2 linked regions of the Astyanax mexicanus genome follow. The protein of the gene in region 2 interacts with the protein of the main gene of each other region in a pairwise test. Links are inferred from orthologs where the notes say so. Each region holds a gene or a part of one and is shown on either strand. Other genes may lie near its edges.

Region 1 (10,522 bases), on a different chromosome or scaffold from region 2:
TTGTTGCAGAATACATGCAGATGTCTGCTCCAAGGGCCAGAGGGCGCTGTGCAGGGCAAAGATAAGCAAAGTCACAAAACCAAAAACATTCATGGTTTATTAATAATAATCTTTGATATTTAGCAAAGATAGAATATAAATAGAAAATAGAATAAGAAAGGGATCTGAAACTTCCAGACCAACCAAAAATGTCATATATATATATAAAATGCACATTACAATTATATACAAATATAAAAATGTAATTTATAATTCACATTCCAATTATATATAAATATATAAATATACAAAAGACTACATTCACCAAGCACTTTATTAGGATTACCCTTAATTTATGCAATTTTTCTTTTAATGATTTATGTGGAAAAAGTTTAATGTGCACTAGAGGTGTGCCATATCAAATCGTACACAAATATCGCCAACATTTTTTAATATAGCAAATTATATTATACCCTAAATATTGTGCCATATCACACATCCCTAATTACCACATCAAGGTTCTATATTTTTGCTGTTTTTAGCAAAAGAAAAATTCACACAGTTCTCATTTCTCATGATATATCTACTAGAGAGATTATATCTGTCCAGTATTATTTATTTTATTTTATTCCTGGATATATGGAGATATTTGAAGTGCAATATTAGTATCATGACATTCTGGATCAGTGAGTTCTGTTACACATTTGATAAAATTGTTATATTTTTTAATATCTCAGTTAGGGGTGTGCCATGTCAAATTGTATGCAATAATACAATTTAATTTTCATTTTGTAGCAGTAGGGTATTCTTGAAATATTTATATCACCAAGAGTATCGTTAACGTGAAAATACCATAAAATACTGTGATATTGTTTTAGGGGCATATCGCCCAACCGTAATGTGCACATTATGCAGATATAGGTCAGAAGCTTTAAGTAACGTTAACATTAACCATCAGAATTTGCAGAAATTTGAGATCATTTTGAGAGTGGTACAACAGTTGCTGTCAGGAGAACCGGTTTAAGTAATTCCAGAACTGCCAATCCCTGGGATGTTTAGCACAACAATCTCTAGAGGTTACTCAACATCAATCACATTAATAATGAGACAATGAGCAGACTGGTTTGAACAAATAATGGCTGATGCAATAAGAACTCTCATAATGAGTCACAAATGCTGTGACGTACATCTGCGTTTAAAAACAGAAGTGACGAAATTCAGGATGTGAGCAAATGTAAGACATACCTGGAAATAGGCAGACATGAAGGTATTGTCCACAACTACAATAATGTCTTTGTTTTGTTCATGTGCAAGGTCTGAACATGCTTGTATGTCCACAACCTTCATTGTTGGGTTTGATGGAGTCTCAATCCACAACATCTGTATGAAAGAGAACATCCATATGAAATGATGAAACAACAGGCTTCTATTGCTGTATAAAAAACAGCAGACAGAACAGGAAACCAGTAGCCCCACCCACTGTGTGTGTTTAGTGCTGAATCACAAGAGCATTTTAATAAGGGTAGGGACTGAACAGAGTCACAATTAGGCAAGCAAAAAATGAAGTCAAATCACAGTGACTGTGCATAAATTTCATTCTTATGTAATAAAGAAGCTGCTCTTTCAGACCAGACACCCTGGAGTCACACCTTTGTATTAGGCTTAAGAGCTGCCTTTAAGACTTCAGGCTTTGTGCAATCAGCGAAGGAGATATCATAGCCAATTTCTTTAGCTATTCTTTGGAAATAGCGATTGGTTCCTGGTGAGGAAAATAAGAAACACATTAAATTCATTATCACTTCCTCATTTTTGCCACTTCCTTTTTTGCTCAAGCAACAGAATTCAAGGAATTACAAACAGTGTGTGTAGCGGTCGCCTACCTCCATAGACATCATTCATGCACACGATTCCATCCCCAGATTTCAGCATGTGCGTAACGGTCACAGTAGCAGCAAGTCCAGAGGCAAGAGCAACACCTATCATTAACAAACCACATCACTATCATCATCATCATCATCATCATCATCATCAATTACAAGAACCTGCTTAGTCACACATTTGGAAATACCTACTGTTATGTAATAAAGAGGAAGCAGCACAACTTGCCAACAGATGAATGAGATGTGTCAGTTTTAAAAGCAGGTTACTATGACTTTATCTGATGCAATACTGAGCTTATCTCTTCAAGGTGAGTGAGCATGCGATTGTCAGTTACACCTGCACCAATCGTCTGTTCTTCTCACACAGTCTTTTCAGTAACAGTAAGGTGTACAGTAAGCTGATCATTTACACAGCGCTCACAAGTTATTATAAGTACTTAAGTAAATAGGTAACTAAACAGATGACTTACAGTGCTTAGCTCCATCCAAAGAAGCAACCGCCTTCTCAAGGCAGTTGCGTGTGGGATTTCCACTGCGACTGTACTCAAATCCCTAGTGATTAAAACAAAAAAATATGGAACAAATACTGAATGCAAACCAACAAAACATAAAACTACAGTACAAACTATTTATGCTACAAACTAGTAAATGCTGGAAAAAAGTCTAATTATGACCATATAGGCCAATATGTTATATCACAGAGATAGTATAATTAGCCCTGGTTAACTGGATTTAGTACAGTAAAGCATCTAAAAGACTCATTAATGATGTTTAATGTTTTTGACAGTACTTTTAAAATTGTTTTAAAAAACTTGGCGTAGGACTAGACAGCAATTACTTGTGACCCTCTGTGCGTTTCAAGTGCTTAACCAGTTCACAGTTTTTCTGACGTTTCAATTTGCTGCACATATCAAAGCTAAAATCATTTAATAACAAGCAATACTCTGGTAAAGCTGACATTATTTGGTAAGTCTTTTGGCACCAGCTCAATGGATCTGGAACTGACCAGTCACAACTAAAAACAGATCTATCAGCTGTTGCACAAGTGGGCTTACAACATGCCCACTTTGATACAGAGGCACGAAGCCTTTACATAGCAGGTGGACTTTACCGGCAATCTGTTTTTCTCTTTTTAACCTTGACCCACACTTGAACTTACCAGGCTATCAGTATCTACTCTCAGGAATTATTAGTAAGAGAAAGTGTACAAAGGGCAATCAGATGTGTGATTTATTACTGTCAATCTGGCTCCATTAAATCACTTCATTGAAAACCAAAAAGAGAATACTGCTGTACCACATTATTCAAATGTCAGCCAGTGTTGAACTGAGCTCAGGGCGGCCACAAAGGTCTTTTTGGGCTAACTGCCCAAAGTAGAATGGTTCCTATTGTTCTCCACAACAAACACATCTCACCTGCTTTCAACTCTCCCTGATGGCTGAAACATAAACAGCAGCACTGACAATGTGCGATAAAAAAATATACACACATATACTTTGTTGTATTATAGAGAATTATTTAAAGGGACCACGTATTGAATAATAAATAGGTGATAAAATCAGCCTGATATATTTAATGGGTTTATTAATAGAAATGAAGGATAAGGTAAGCTATCTAACATGATAACTGATATTAAAATATATCTGATAGTTTGATATGATTGCCTATGATTGATATGATGACTGTATAGTTTACTCTTATTCTGCCACATATCATGTAGTTACTCCACTGGAAGCTTTTATAATGATAATGATAAAAAAAAGAAGAACACTATCTAGCAATAATCTAAATGGCATAGAGGGTTAAATTCACTAAATATTGTAATGAAAATGAAACTAGATGATACACTAGATCATGTTTGGGCACTTTAATCTACTCCACTCACCCTGCTGAGCGATGTAAAATGATAACTGACAGTGAAATATGGGGATCTTTCCTCAATATTAAAATCTTGTAATGTAAATGAAACTAGATGATACACTAGATCATGTTTGGGCACTTTAATCTACTCCCCTGACCTTGCTGACCTACCTAAAATGATAATTGATATTGGAGTATAGGTGATATGTTTTACATATGATTTAAATAGCTATCTTTCTACACATAAACCTATTAAAATCTTGTACTGTAAATGATACTAGATGATATAGATCATGTTTGGGCACTTTAATCTACTCCCCTGACCCTGCTGACCTATGTAAAACTATAGCTGATATTGAAATATGGCTGATATTTTCACATTTTATATACATTTCTCACATTTTTTCTGGCAAACATCCTGTAGCTAGCTACTCAACTGGGAGCTTTTAAAATTCATAATAAGAATATCTGACTAAAATCTTCATCAACCCACCCAACATCTAACCTAGCTAAATATTTAGCTATCTTTCCACCCTTTAACCCATTAAAACATTCACATGTAAATGATACTAGATGATATTAGATGATATATAATGTTTGGGCACTTTAATCTACTCCCCTGAACCTGCTGAGTGCTCATAAATGTGTTATTATAGGGAATTTATGGATATTATAAGCAGTGAGGCCACAAATCTCTTTCTTTGTGTTGATAAAGAGGGGGTTCATTTAGTCTAGTTTAGCCGGGTCGAGTTAATCACATCATCATGGCTAATGAACCACAGTAAATAACACAGCCTGCGGTCCCGCTTATTATCTACAGAGCAGCCGGGGGAACACGGGCTATTTAACCACACTGATTTAACGTTACCGGGTGGGTCTAAATCCACGTTCTTCTTAAAGACACTATACCACCCCCTCCCCAGGTAACCCGAGCCGCCCCCGGGTACTCACCGCGTGCTTGCCCGGGCCGTACTGTTTAAAGGTGGTGGAGAGTGAAATGGGAGGAACCACGGCCATGGAGTTCCACTGCTCCGGCTCCTGGCCTACGTGAATCGCGTCCGTGGCGAAAGAGCTGAACCCGGACAGCCACTCGCCGCCGCTGCCGCTAGCCATGCTTTATTTACTGCTGACCGGCCTGGAGGAGACACGCGTCCCTGAGAGCAGATCAACACGCGCGGGGGGAGGAATCACACTGCCTGCGTACCAGAGACCGCGGTTACCACTGAAACCCGGAGCAGCAGAAACATTAGTCTTATACCCGCGAACCGTCTGACTCCCTCCCGCACACTGACAGCCATTGGCGTGCGCGTGGGGGCGCGGTGCACCACGTGACCCACGTTTGCGGAGACCCGACGTCCCGATGATGCAACACGTTCAACCAACAATACAGAGACAACGTGCTGTATTATCTAACGTTATATTATGTTAACCACACTTTTACACTTAATCATATCATTTGTTACTATACCAGTACATCGAATAAACCTTTAGAATATATTGTAAACTTTTATATTCTACTTAAAATATATTTTATTCACAAAGCTTTCCTATATTTAATTGAGTTTAATTTACTTCTCCAATCTTTAAGTAGAATCCATACAAAAAAACGTTATTCTATTATTATGATTTATTTTATAATGATGATCTATCGTATATCGATTAGCCTTCCTCAATTATTGTATTTTTGTTTTATTTCTAATTTAGATTTCCTGTTCAATAAGCATGATGCAAGAATAATTAAGTTTGTACCCACCAATAACTCATATATTGTAAATTGTCTGACATTTTTTGTATACTTGTTTGTTGAACCAAAATACAGTAAAAACATAAACAGCGTATATCCTGTCCATTCTGTGTTTGATGAAATATGGCTGTAACAATGAAAATACAGGACGAACTGTTTTAAGTGAATATTTTAAAACCCTTATATTATTGTGTTGTGTAATTATTATTATATTATACATTATATTGAGCAAAACATTGTTATTTAATCATTTAAAAAACATGTTTTGCTTCTTAAAACTTGCATAGTACTTTAACAGTTCCCCCTCCAAAAAGAGCACTCTGTGTCCTGAACCTGAACTTGCCCTATTCAAGAGCTTGTTGTTGAGTAATGTTTGTGATAACATTGTACTCTGTATGCCCTGAAGACAGGATTAATGAAATATGCACAATGAAAAAGAAAAATTAACTAAATAAGGAAACAGTAAGCAAAAAACTAAGTGAACAAAATATTTTACAAGGAAGTTCAAAAACATTTGTAACTAAATAGCTAAATATTAGCTTGCTGAAGTTAAAGGAATGCAGTTTTATTAGTATTAGTATTATAAGTCTACTGATCACAGGTATAATTTTTCTGTTAGTCTCTATCAGTAAACTTTGACATTTAACAATAGCTCTTCCTTTCAGGGTCAGCTTCATCTCTTTTTTTAGGGTTGATTGAACCCGAATAACTGATAGGGTTGAAAAAAACACAACATTCTGTTTACATAACAGTTAACATTAAAAGTAGTAAACTGAACCAATCTGAATTGTGCTGAACCCTTTTAGAATATTAACATAATGATAGAAGTCATTTTAATATCTTAAATTTAATTTACATTTTTTCCCCATTTTTTCCCCAATTTCCACGGCCAATTACCCAACTTACTCATTAGGACTCCCCATATCACTAGTGATGCCCCAAAATCTATGGAGTCAAAAAAGGGTCATAAAGATTTTGAGTTTGTAAAACAGAAATGTACTGAAACTTGTAACTGCGTTTAAACAACTGCATGCACGAAAATCCAAATCCACAAATTAACTGGAATGTGCAAACTTGAAACAGAAAGTAATATTAATAATAATTCAAATGTACAAATGTGAAAAAAATATTTTAATTATATATAAATATATATATTTTAATTTGTAAATCCAATCTCTTCAATGTGTGAATCAGTACTGCTCAAATGGCTTAAGCTGGGTCAGACCAAAAATCACATGGAATTTGTGAGGTTGTAAATGTGACAGTGGGTGTTTTTCACTGTGGAGCTAAAAATCCTCTCATTCATCTTCTCTGCTGCGTGTGCGAAGCTCCAGCTGCAGTTGCGAATTTTGACCCTGTTTTGACGCCTGATTGATGGACCAATAGGAAAGCTTTATCCGGACCAATCAGATTACGGGGTTTGTTTAACCAATCAGAACAATGGGTGGGTCTCTGCAGCTCGGAGTACTGAGAGGATTTTTAGCTCCACAGTGAAAAACACCCACTGTCACATTTACAACCTCACAAATTCCATGTGATTTTTGGTCTGACCCAGCTTAAGCCATTTGAGCAGTACTGATTCACACATTCAAGAGATTGGATTTACAAATTAAAATATATATATTTATATATAATTAAAATATTTTTTTCACATTTGTACATTTGAATTATTATTAATATTACTTTCTGTTTCAAGTTTGCACATTCCAGTTAATTTGTGGATTTGGATTTTCGTGCATGCAGTTGTTTAAACGCAGTTACAAGTTTCAGTACATTTGTGACTTCTGTTTTACAAACTCAAAATCTTTATGACCCTTTTTTGACTCCATAAAAATCAAGAGGGTGAAGACTAGCACATGCCTCCTCCTATACATGTAAAGTCAGCCACTGCCTCTTTTCGAACTGCTGCTGATGCAAAATTTACCATTTTATATATTAGGAAACATATGATTACAAAGCATTTTATGACCAAACACAGAGTGAATTACTTGCTAAGACTTTGCACTAGTTCAAATGAGCTCTGGCCCTCTGTGAGGACCTGTGTGCGCAAACAAATCCATGATATTGAAGTTTTTTGATATGAAAATAATGCCTATAAAGTTGGTTTATGAAGTGCTTACAAACAAAAAAGACAACAGTGAACAGTAATTTGCTTAATCAATATGGAAGGCTAAATATAATTTGTTATACTGTTATAATGCAGCAGAATTAAAAGTAACACTTTATAAACTTGTTATTTTGTCATGTTATTACATTTTTCTTGCAACCACTTTTACATGTGATCATATTTCCTTACTTAAATATATTTTTGGGAAAACTACAAAATAACATATCAAATCTTTAAAGTATATTATTCCAATGTGAAGCTGCCACATTTGTTTATATGAGGAAATGTCAATAAAAATAGTCATTGTAGCATAACGTAGTGGGTGTAATTTGCATCTGACCACATTTTATTTAGGGCAGCTTTTGCTCGTCATAGGAAGCCAGTCTCCCCTCTCTAAAAAGTGGTGTTAGGGAGGAGAGATAACAGAGTTAAAGGGAGGAGATGGGGCAGTGGAGGGTTGCGAAGACTTGTTGTGAACATGTACAATAAGCAAGGTAGAAAGTATTCATAGGATGTTATATTAAGAAAGGGGCTTCAGGCATGTTACTCATTCCAACATTTTGTTATTTCATAATAACAGGTTAGCACAAAAAGTAAGCACTAAAAGTAAATCTCATATCGTTAAAAATCCTGTTGATTTCCCTTTTAAATGGTAGATGTGTTTGTGGGATGAGCAGCAGAGCTGAGTATGTGGGTTTTGCCCATTAAAAAATTGCCAAACAGCTTATTTTTCTGTTTATATTAATACTTGTTTTGAGTTTCTAGTACACTTGACTAATCTGGATAGGACTCAGGCATTAGGGAAACTTTTTATTATTATTACTTTTTTTGTCCTATTTTTTCCCCCCAATTTACCATGCCAATTACCTAACCCATTCATTAGGACTCTCTCTGTCACTAGTGATGCCTCAACACCAGGAGGGTGAAGACTAGCACATGCCTCCTCCAACACATGTGAATTCAGCCACCTCCTCTTTTCAAACTGTTGGTGATGCAGCATTGCTGAATAGCATCACAGCGCACTCGGAGGAAAGCACAGCGACTCGGTTCTGATATATCAGCTCACAGACGCCTTTGGAGTGAGGTGGGAAGAGATTGCCATAAAGGACAATTGTGCTCTCTCGGGGGTCCAGAAGCTGAAGGCAAGCTACATAAACGGGATTTGAATCAGCAATCTCCCCAGCTGGACTACTCAGAGAATGGTGGTTGGGCAACTTTAAGTTGGTGTTCTGCAAAACCAAGTTGCGACATTATTTGGCGTGAGCCCTAGTAGTATCTTCAAATTTAAGACTGGAAAGACAGGCCGAGGGGTGGGCGTCCCAAGAAGTTCGTTAAACACCAAATATGTAAATGAAACAATACGCTGTTTGGCAATGGCAGAGAGGATTTGGCAAAAAATCTATGGGTGCAATCCACATACTTAGCTCTGCTGCTCATCCCACAAATGCATGTTCCTTACAAATATGGCATCATTTAAAAGAAAACTTAACATGCTTTACAAAGATATAAGATGTATTGCCAAGAAGCAAACAAATAATCCACCAAATAAAAATCTCTTTACTTTTTGTGCTATGTTGATTTTTTTTGTTTCTTCTAGCAACTATTAGACACGTTATCTATAGTCCAGACTTAACTTCCTGCATGCAAATGTCTGAGGCTGCAAAATGAGCCTTTCCTGTTGGGCCTGTGTGAGCAGTAGGGCTACACCCACATGTGCATGGTTTATGTTTATCAGTTTACAAATGCAGGAAGAAGAAAGGCTCATGTAGAAGTTTTACAACCGATAACCAAATGATGTGAGCTGCTAGGCCTGTGAAAGCTTGCAAAGCTGTGTGAAAGGAGGAACACTCTGGATGGGAGCTAAAGGACAGCACACTACTGGGAGCTAGTTTGAACATTATTTCTGTTGCATTATGTTGTTGAAGGGTGTGCTTGTGGGAAAGCAGCACGCTCAGCAGGTTTGAACAGATCTTCTTAAATCTTCTCAGACAGCTTTTTCTTTTTTTTCATTGCTTTTTTTCTTTTGACAACATAATTGCAAACTGTGTGATGTGCTATATGAGCTAATCCCCAACTGGAAATGAGGAAAACATGGTTTAGGACATTGCTGCTGAACTTTTTATGTTTTTATACATGTCAAGGTAGGTTGAATAATCCATGTACACACCCTTTGGTTACAAACAACACTGGCACTGTGTATTTTAATTTACAGTTCTGTTCATGTAACTCTTTTTCCATATAGCTAAAACATGTGTAGTTGGAATGTTGGGGGAATCTGTCTCTATTCCCTGTCTTTATAATGGACCAGAGGATTTGAGCTCTTTAAACATTTCATTTGAATGGAAAAGAGGCTCTGAGGTGGTCTACAAAGCTGTGTGGAGAGGGGGACATGAGGAAAGACTCGAAGTGGACTTCAATGGCAGGAGCACAGTGTCCTCTCTGGCACAAACTGGAAATTTCACGTTGAAGTTAAGTGACATCCGTTTTCCAGATGCCCAGAATTACAGTCTATATTTAAAGCGTCTGGACCGTGGAGCTAATGCTTCAATATGCACTGTCTGCCTGAGTGTTGCAGGTAAGAATTATCATGTATCACATATTAAATATTATGCATATATATATATATATATATATATATATATATATATATATATATATATATATATATATATATATATATATATATGTTTATTTATGCTAAACATTTCTAGCTATATACACATATATTTTAAGAGATACTTAACATATAATAAATTGTCTGATGCACACCAAACACAATTTATACTTTACATGGCCATTTAGCAATATACCATTGCTCTGGCTCCCTTTTATTGTGCTTTATTTAAAAAGCAGTCCAGGCTAAAACATTTCTTAATACTTCAGCATGAATGGGGGGATGGAAAAAGTTGCTTGCTGATATATGCAAATGTGTTGGTTTTTTTGACATCACAC
Region 2 (10,858 bases):
GTCCCACACATAAGTCTGCAGCTCCCTCAGTGTTTTCTGTCGTATTTTGCGGCTAGCGCGAGCGCTTACAACTAACACCGCGGACCGCGAGGTGCCGCCGCGCTTGTGCCGAATCCGCTACTGAATCCGACTCCCGCTTCGCGGACAGAATCGGCACAACACCCCCCGCTGTACAACTGCGGGAGTGAAAACAGCGCTAATAAATAAAGTAGTTTAGTTTCACTTTCAGTTTTCGTTATTTTCGTTATTTTATTTAAAAATAAAAATATAAATAAAAAACAGATGCCTACATCTCAGACTATTTTCCCACACTTCACTCCTCGCGCCCGTTTTGTCCACAAGTCGCGGACGAGAGACATCTGTTATTTTAGCCGTCGCCATTCTACACTCGCTGCTGCTCTGCTGGCTTGCGCGTGAATCGATTCATTTGTTCAGAACACTAAGTTTATCTGAATCCTGCCACACCGACTGCTGCGGTGTGAATCAGTTTTCTTATGAACTGAATCAAATCGCGCCTACTAATTTGACTCATTTGAAGCTAGTGACTGGGCTATATACAGTATCGAAAGCATCGAACGCTAAAGAACCGAATCGTTTGTGATGACGTAGTATCGAAAAAGAATCGAACCTTCGGTACACCGTGCAACTCTAATATATATGTATATGTGTGTACATGTATATATATATACATATATATATATATGTATATATATATACATATACATATACATATACATGTGTATATATATATATGTTTACATTCTTTAGCTGTTATTCTGCTTCGGAGGTCTGATTTCTTCATATATTGTTTAATTTTGTTGGATAAAGTAAACCCTACACTAATCAAAGCCTTAATTTAAAGCGTTTTTTTTTTTTTAATAGTTCCATAAACCCTATAAATGGACATAAAATACTCAATGTTTAAGTATTCAAAAGAGAACTGAACAGATCTCTTGTACAAGCTCTAACAGAAACACAGACTAGACTGCTCAACATCACCCATGTCTTTACCTCTGTGAAGAATCTGTAAAGTAGCATAAGCTAAAAGCTAGCATTTCATACAAAATATCAAAAAGAAGCACAGTTTGTTTTTAAATCTTTCTGTACTCTGTAGTACAAAGTCATTTTGTTCAGTGCTTTTTGATATTGAATTTCAATACACAGCCCTAGCAAGGATGCTGGCACATGCTGAAAGCAATCTGAGCCAAAAAAAAGTTTATCTTGATCTTGTCAAACCACAAGACATATTTTTTGGACTGCCTGTCTTTAGCAATCTGTTTGCAGGCTTGTGCCTTTTTTTGCATTGCACTTCTCACCTCTTCAAACTCTGCAGTAATGCTTGCAGCACTCGTAAATCTATTTCTTAAAGCCAACCACTGGACATTATACAAAACTTCTTTGGTCGATCCTGAGAAGGACTGTTCTGAGTGGAAACCTTTGACCATTGTTCTGTTTCTCAGTTATAAGCAATATTTTTATAGCCTAGGCCATCTCATATTTTTTGCCATGAAGTGCCATGTATGAGAGAATCATACCAAAAACAACAAAATAATAACCCTGCCCCCATTCACACCTCTAACTCTAACAAACCGCATAACATTGGAGAAGGAAAATGTACTCACTTTTGTTGCCAGTGGTTTAGACATTAATGGCTGTGTGTTGAGTTATTTTGAGGACACAGATAAATTACACTATTATACATGCTGGACACTGACTACTTTACATTGAATCAAACTATAATTTTTTCAGTGCTGTTCAATTGAAAGGTATCATACAATATTTACAGCAATGTAAGGAGTGCACTCACTTTTGTGAGGTACTGTTTCTCAAATCAAGTCACAGACTTTTACAGTAATAAAATCTTGGCATTACACAAACTGCTTTTATATTTTATAATTAACTGACAATATGGCAAAACTGAGGTTTTAGAAGTACATTTCATGAACAAAGTATTGGGACATTTTTTCTTCTGAGTTCAAGCATATTAAAAAAAATGTATCCTGCCATTTTTGAGTAACTGTCTTTACTGCCCAGAGAAGACGTTCAACTAAAATGTAAAGCATTGAGGATTTAATGGCACTAATAAAAAAAGCATATGCAAGGTCAGGATGTTGGATCACCACCCTACCTCATTCCCAACTCGTAAAATTACTGGACAGAGAACCTTCATTTCAGAGAACACAGTTGCACTGTTCCACAGGGCCTGGTATTAGGCATGGTGCAAACAGGCTAATGTTTACTGATCTGCTCCAGAGAGTCATATTCTCTTGGCTGTACTTTTGTAAAAGGGCCAATGATTTAAATTGTAGCAAGAACCTGCTTCATTTTGATGTTGTATGTGCTCTACTATGAAATATGCCACACAAATCATATTTTTTTATATATGAAATCAGCTAAGGACCTTAAACCTTTTTTAAGTACAAGATCAGTTCTGGTTCTAGATAAATCTATCAAAATCCTCCAGGAAACTCCATACATTATATATAACTCCATATGTTATATATGTGTTAGAATGGCAAATGTATAAGGTATATACTTTTGCAAGCCACTGTAAATAAGCCTTTTTTATCCTTATAGAACCTTAGCTTCATATAATTTTTTTTTCGGTAGACAAAACTTTTCAGGCATTTCAACATATTATATATATATATATATATATATATATATATATATATATATATATATATATATATATATATATATATATATATGTTTATATGTATTTATATCTGCATCTGACAGAGTTTAAAGGATGGAAGCTTTTTGTGTAAACCAACCCATTATTCATGTGAGAAGAATGATTGGAACAGATAAGCTTAAAGTAAATTAAAGTGCATCTGGCCTTCTTATTCTTCAGGTTAATAGTGGTTTTCATCTGCTGGTGAAGCCACTGTACTTTTATTCATTAAAATATTTTCATGAAAATGCCTTTTCTTTATTACTTTTCAAATGGTTGCTATGGCCAATATTTGGTCAATGGCTCTGATCTTTACCATAGACAGCTCTCTGGTTTTCATACTGGTTACTTATATATATGATATAAATGCACAGTCTGCGAAGATAAAACCCAAATCTGTACAGACATTCAGCACTATTTATTGTTTGAAAAATGTATGTATCAGGAGACACCTTGGCAACAAAACACACTTGCCAATCTCATGTTTTTCATGTACTTTTGCTCACAACAAATATGGGTGGGTTCAGACAGAAGGTGCTATCCTCTGAGCTATGTATCTGATCCCAGACAAATGTTTTCAGTCTACAGCAAATATAAAAGAAATTAGCTCTCAATATCTTGGGAAATGATTGTATGTGCAATGCAACACAAAAGAGTGTTACGACATTTTAAAGTATGAGATCAGTTTGAGCCAGACTAACTATTTATAGTTGGAAGTATATTTATTTATATTAATATATTATTTAGTTTATATTACTTTCCACATTTCCTTACATTTTCCCGTTATTCTGAATCAGCAGCTCAGCCGGAGAAACATATGCCTCGAATGAAAACCAAAGTAATTGCGATGTGAGATTAAAAAAAAAAAAAAGAAAAAAAAAAAAAGAAAAAGTGATTCTGTACTTACTTTAAAACCATCCGAGAACATGCCAGTCCGCAATCCCAGTGATAGAGCTGTCGAATTATTGGTACGTTCAATAAAACGACATCATCTACAAAATAGTTCGCAGGTTAAGATAACAAGGACATCTGTCGTTGGACTTTAATGGCAAAATCAAGAAAATTAACTAGCTAGTTAGATTAACCAGGTAAATATCCATCTGCTAAGTGAATGTGAAGCAGATACCCTGAACATCTAATCACAATCTGAGGCATGGCAAAGTATCACTTAAACAAGACATTCAAAGAACCTATGTAGAAAGCTAGCTTAACGAAGGTTAGTAAAGCTACCCTAAAAACAAAACTTTTAGCATAGCTTACCTGTCATGATGTATTGAGCTAGTTAATGTTACTTTCCCATTAACATTTATCCAGCGCAGTTCTTCATTCTACGGTTTAACGTATGTTTTAATAAGCAGATCCCCGGCTTCACCCGCACAAACAGCCCTAGCTCAGCTCGCTGGGTTAGAGCCAGTACACTACTTATTACCCTGGTTAACTACTATTAACTTTAAAGTCTACCTTTAGTTCAGCGCGCTGTTCTGTCCTTCTGAAAGCGTTATGAGAGTAGAGCCGAATAGCACTAATAACCAGTAACACTAGTATTACCCAGCAGTAATAACGAGTAACACTAGTATTACCCAGCCCTAATAAACAGTAAAACTAATATTGCCCTGCACTTATGGCCAGTAACACTAATATTACCTTGATTTTATAACCATTAATATCTAATATTACTTTGTGTGCTACTGTTTTTAACCGATGCACAATCCTATATGCCCGTCCTGGTTCCCCATCGCAAGGCCCCTCGGGCTGCTTTGGTGACGCCTGTTCAAAAAACACTAGTACTACTTGCCAAGCCGGTCCATAAGTCTAGCCTCTCGCTGCATTCAAGAGTGGTTGGCGTCCAACTCCGGCCACATTATTGGTTGGAGCGTAAATCCAAAATCGCCGCCATATTGGTTGGGTCTCCACTCAATTCTAGCACCAGAGCACACGCAACAGAGTATATATTATACATATATCAGTTAGATATATTTATAACATGTTTCCTATTAATGTTCCAGTGAGCGTCCTGTATCATAACTACATATCTGCCGTTTGTAACAAACCAAACAAAGTTGTGATTATTATAGTTGTATTATACACCTTCCTCAGTACAAATAAATTCACTTAGGGTACACGGGAGACCCATCTAAAATGGCGGCCGTGCTGAAAAATCAGCTCCAATAGGCGGTGTCTGTCTATATCTATGTCTCAATTCAGGGGCTGCATTCTTCGAAGGACGCAGTCTACGAAGGTGTGTCCTTCGATGTGTAGGCTGCGATGGCAGTACTGAAATGGGACAGTCCAGAGCCGTAGAAAGCCGTAAAAATATCTCTATAGTATTTCCTGTTTCCTGTTTGAGATTCTACCCGCCACAACCAAAGTAAGAGCTGAGAAATGAGCCAGTTACTTAAATATTTTAAATGTGAACGGGTGGAACTGAACATAAACAAATAAAAGGGCGTTTGAAATGAAGTTGGAAAAAAGAGCATAAATTAGAATAAAGTATTATGTTATATTATTTATTATATATATTATATATTATATAGTATTATGTATTTTTATATATATATATAAATATATATAAATACTATATATATTATTTAGTTTATGTAAATAAATATATAAGTATTTATATATCTATAACTATTAACATATAACAACATAAACATGATACTACATATATAAACTAAATAATACTATATATATATATATATATATATATATATATATATATATATATATATATATAAACTAAATAATATAAATGATATAATATATAAATAATATTTATAATATCTATAAGTATTTATATATCTATAAACTACATAATACTACATATCCTACATAATACAGCCGACTCAGTTGAATCCGCCCTTTTCGTGCTGAAATAACCCACTAAACATTAGACGTCTTATGGACGTGCAGATCATGTCTATATTGCGTCGGTCGGTCCAAGACCAATTCTGTACGTCTACAAGACGTGCAAACTAGGTCCGCTATTTGGACGTCTAACTATGACCCCACTTGGACGTCAATATGCAGTTAAACATTTGAACGTCGGACTAGGTCACTTTTTTGGACGTCATGGGGACGTCTAATACAGGTGCAGGAAATTAACATTATTTAAGAATATATTTATTTTTAAATGTATGTCAAAATTGTTGTTATCAATATTGTTAATCACTATGAATATAGATTATTTATGATTAAGCATCATTTATTTCTAATTATTTATTTGAGTATTATATTTTTTATCTATTTAATTAATTAACGAATGTAGGTATTTATTTACGTATGTTTTTATTTTTATTTGGAAATGCAATTTATGTGGAAAATTGTTAAGTTGATTTCAACCAGTCAACGCCACTCTGATTTGCTGAGACCGCACGTCATCATAAACTCCACTCTGATATGCCGAGGCAAAACACGCTAAACATTTTTTACCGCGGTCACGCCATCTGCACTTAGAAAACGCTCGGTCGCGCTATCTACACCGAAAACTGAAGTGCGCGTCTAAACCGTGTTTTACTGTAGCAGCGTGCACAGCGCACCCGGAGGAGCGGAGACTGGCGCTTCTCGTGCAGAGACTTAAAATGGAACAGAAACTAGTTTTACACCTAAATAAAAATGATTTAACGAGATCTAATCCACAAATATACACCAGAAAGACCACTTCTTATCTGTAGAACAGTGTAACGTTTTGAAAAGGTTTGGAGTGTTATTAAATAAGTAATTGTTATAAAATCACATCCCTAAATTCTTAAAGATCTTATTCTCATGTATCCCAGATATATGTTTGAAGTGATATTACTGTATCATTTTTGAGTAATTGAATACCAAAACTATCTATTTCGGAGTGCTATAAATCTAAAAGAAAATCTAATTCTTCTTAAATCAGAACATGAAATCCTTAAAGAATACCTTCCATACTATTTATGTCATGCATGTATACTGATTGTACAGTATCATTTTGGAGTAAATGAATACCAAACTTAGGAAAAATGTATATTCGGTTTTGCATAAACCAGATTTCGGTGTCCTATAAAACCTTCAAATCAAATTGTTATCCAATGAAACCAAGAAAGTCTTGAAGAAAACATTCCATTCTATTAATGACATGAGTAACAAGTGATATTACTGTATCATTCTGGAGTAATTGAATACCAAACATAGGAAAAATGTCTATTCGGTTGTGCATAAACCACATTTCAGAGTCCTATAAAACCAGCAAATCAAATTGTTATCCAATGGCACTAACAAAGGCTTGGAAAACACATTCTATACTATTAATATATACATATATATCAAGTGATTTTACTCTACCATTTTGGAGTAATTAAATATCAAACATACAAAAAGTGTTAATTCACTTTTGCATAAATCAGATTTCAGAGTCCTATAAAACAAGCAAATCAAATTGTTATCCAATGCCACTAAGACATTCTTGAAGAACACATTCCATACTATTAATGACATGAGTAACAAATGATATTACTGTATCATTTTGGAGTAATTGAATACGAAGCTTAGGAAAAATGTCTATTTGGTTGCGCAAAAACCTGATTTTGGAGTCCTGTAAAACCAGCAAATTAAATTGTTATCAAATGCTACCGAGACTGTCTTGAAGAACACATTCCATTCTATTATTGACATGAGTAATAAGTGATATTACTGTATAATTTTGGATTAATTGGATACCAAACTTAGAAAAATGTCTATTCAGTTGTGTATAAACCAGATTTTAAGGTCGCATAAAACCAGCAAATCAAATTGTTATCCAATGCCACCAAGACAGTCTTGAAAAACACATTCCATACTATAAATGACATGAGTAACAAGTGATTTTACTGTACCATTTTGGAGTAATTAAATATCAAACATACGAAAAATGTTGATTCACTTTTGCATAAACCAGATTTCAGAGTCCTACAAACCATTAAAACAAATTGTTATCCAATGCCACTGATAAAGTCTTGAAAAGCACATTCTATACTATTATTGACATGAGTATCAAGTGATTTTACTGTATCATTTTGAAATAATTGGATACCAAACTTGGAAAAAATGTCTATTCGGTTGTGCATTAACCACATTTCAGAGTCCTATAAAACCAGCAAATCAAATCGTTATCCAATGGCACTAACAAAGTCTTGAAGAACACATTCTATACTATTATTGACATGAGTATCAAGTGATTTTACTGTATCATTTTGGAGTAATTGGATACCAAACTTAGGAAAAATTTCTGTTCGGTTGTGCATAAACCAGATTTTAAGGTCCCACAAAACCAGCAAATTAGATTGTTATCCAATGCCACCAAGACAGTCTTGAAGAACACATTGCAAACTATTAATGACATGAGTAACAAATGATATTACTGTATCATTCTGGAGTAATTGGATACCAAGCTTAGGAAAAATGTCTATTCAGTTGTGAAAAAACCTGATTTCAGAGTCCTATAAAACCAGCAAATCAAATTGTTATCCAATGGCACTAACAAAGGCTTGGAAAACACATTCTATACTATTAACAACATATATATCAAGTGATTTTACTGTACCATTTTGGAGTAATTAAATATCAAACATACAAAAAGTGTTAATTCACTTTTGCATAAATCAGATTTCAGAGTCCTATAAAACAAGCAAATCAAATTGTTATCCAATGCCACTAAGACATTCTAGAAGAACACATTCCATACTATTAATGACATGAGTAACAAATGATGTTACTGTATCATTTTGGAGTAATTGAATACGAAGCTTAGGAAAAATGTCTATTTGGTTGCGCAAAAACCTGATTTTGGAGTCCTGTAAAACCAGCAAATTAAATTGTTATCAAATGCTACCAAGACTGTCTTGAAGAACACATTCCATTCTATTATTGACATGAGTAATAAGTGATATTACTGTATAATTTCGGATTAATTGGATACCAAACATACGAAAAATGTTGATTCACTTTTGCATAAACCAGATTTCAGAGTCCTACAAACCATTAAAACAAATTGTTATCCAATGCCACTGATAAAGTCTTGAAAAGCACATTCTATACTATTATTGACATGAGTATCAAGTGATTTTACTGTATCATTTTGAAATAATTGGATACCAAACTTGGAAAAAATGTCTATTCGGTTGTGCATAAACCAGATTTTAAGGTCCCATAAAACCAGCAAATTAAATTGTTATCCAATGCCACCAAGACAGTCTTGAAGAACACATTGCAAACTATTAATGACATGAGTAACAAGTGATTTTACTGTACCATTTTGGAGTAATTAAATATCAAACATACGAAAAATGTTGATTCACTTTTGCATAAACCAGATTTCAGTCCTACAAACCATTAAAACAAATTGTTATCCAATGCCACTGATAAAGTCTTGAAAAGCACATTCTATACTATTACTGACATGAGTATCAAGTGATTTTACTGTATCATTTTGAAATAATTGGATACCAAACTTGGAAAAAATGTCTATTCGGTTGTGCATAAACCACATTTCAGAGTCCTACAAAACCAGCAAATCAAATCGTTATCCAATGGCACTAACAAAGTCTTGAAGAACACATTCTATACTATTATTGACATGAGTATCAAGTGATTTTACTGTATCATTTTGGAGTAATTGGATACCAAACTTAGGAAAAATTTCTGTTCGGTTGTGCATAAACCAGATTTTAAGGTCCCATAAAACCAGCAAATTAAATTGTTATCCAATGCCACCAAGACAGTCTTGAAGAACACATTGCAAACTATTAATGACATGAGTAACAAATGATATTACTGTATCATTCTGGAGTAATTGGATACCAAGCTTAGGAAAAATGTCTATTCAGTTGTGAAAAAACCTGATTTCAGAGTCCTATAAAACCAGCAAATTAAATTGTTATCCAATGCCACCAAGACAGTCTTGAAGAACACATTCTATACTATCAATGACTTGAGTAACAAATGATATTACTGTATCATTTTGGCTTAATTGGAGACCAAACTTAGAATAAATGTCTGTTCGGTTGGGCACAAACCAGATTTTAAGGTCCCATAAAACCAGCATATTAAATTGTTATCCAATGCCACCAAGACATTCTTGAAAATCACATTCTATACTATTATTGACATGAGTATCAAGTGATTTTACTGTATCATTTTGAAATAATTGGATACCAAACTTGGAAAAAATGTCTATTCGGTTGTGCATAAACCACATTTCAGAGTCCTACAAAACCAGCAAATCAAATCGTTATCCAATGGCACTAACAAAGTCTTGAAGAACACATTCTATACTATTATTGACATGAGTATCAAGTGATTTTACTGTATCATTTTGAAATAATTGGATACCAAACTTGGAAAAAATGTCTATTCGGTTGTGCATAAACCAGATTTTAAGGTCCCATAAAACCAGCAAATTAAATTGTTATCCAATGCCACCAAGACAGTCTTGAAGAACACATTGCAAACTATTAATGACATGAGTAACAAGTGATTTTACTGTACCATTTTGGAGTAATTAAATATCAAACATACGAAAAATGTTGATTCACTTTTGCATAAACCACATTTCAGAGTCTTACAAACCATTAAAACAAATTGTTATCCAATGCCACTGATAAAGTCTTGAAAAGCACATTCTATACTATTACTGACATGAGTATCAAGTGATTTTACTGTATCATTTTGAAATAATTGGATACCAAACTTGGAAAAAATGTCTATTCGGTTGTGCATAAACCACATTTCAGAGTCCTACAAAACCAGCAAATCAAATCGTTATCCAATGGCACTAACAAAGTCTTGAAGAACACATTCTATACTATTATTGACATGAGTATCAAGTGATTTTACTGTATCATTTTGGAGTAATTGGATACCAAACTTAGGAAAAATTTCTGTTCGGTTGTGCATAAACCAGATTTTAAGGTCCCATAAAACCAGCAAATTAAATTGTTATCCAATGCCACCAAGACAGTCTTGAAGAACACATTGCAAACTATTAATGACATGAGTAACAAATGATATTACTGTATCATTCTGGAGTAATTGGATACCAAGCTTAGGAAAAATGTCTATTCAGTTGTGAAAAAACCTGATTTCAGAGTCCTATAAAACCAGCAAATTAAATTGTTATCCAATGCCACCAAGACAGTCTTGAAGAACACATTCTATACTATCAATGACTTGAGTAAC

What was found.
Region 1: the proteins of gucd1 (region 2) and cth interact in binary tests that used the Homo sapiens proteins (3 or more experiments, as listed by UniProt). The two-hybrid records come from large-scale screens. The link is inferred for Astyanax mexicanus from reciprocal best matches to the Homo sapiens genes GUCD1 and CTH.

Annotation. Positions count from the first base shown.
Region 1 is NC_064412.1:18,941,140-18,951,661, reverse strand, and holds the start of cth (cystathionine gamma-lyase), read right to left. Parts: upstream 5,017-10,522; 5' UTR 4,833-5,016; coding exon 4,671-4,832; intron 2,412-4,670; coding exon 2,330-2,411; intron 1,956-2,329; coding exon 1,860-1,955; intron 1,739-1,859; coding exon 1,629-1,738; intron 1,360-1,628; coding exon 1,225-1,359; intron 47-1,224; coding exon 1-46. Other genes in the region: ICOS ligand-like, read left to right, coding at 9,651-9,711, 9,813-10,145. UniProt on the Homo sapiens protein: Catalyzes the last step in the trans-sulfuration pathway from L-methionine to L-cysteine in a pyridoxal-5'-phosphate (PLP)-dependent manner, which consists on cleaving the L,L-cystathionine molecule into L-cysteine, ammonia and 2-oxobutanoate.
Region 2 is NC_064419.1:13,457,955-13,468,812, reverse strand, and holds the start of gucd1 (protein GUCD1), read right to left. Parts: upstream 4,598-10,858; 5' UTR 3,945-4,597; coding exon 3,938-3,944; intron 3,670-3,937; coding exon 3,585-3,669; intron 1-3,584.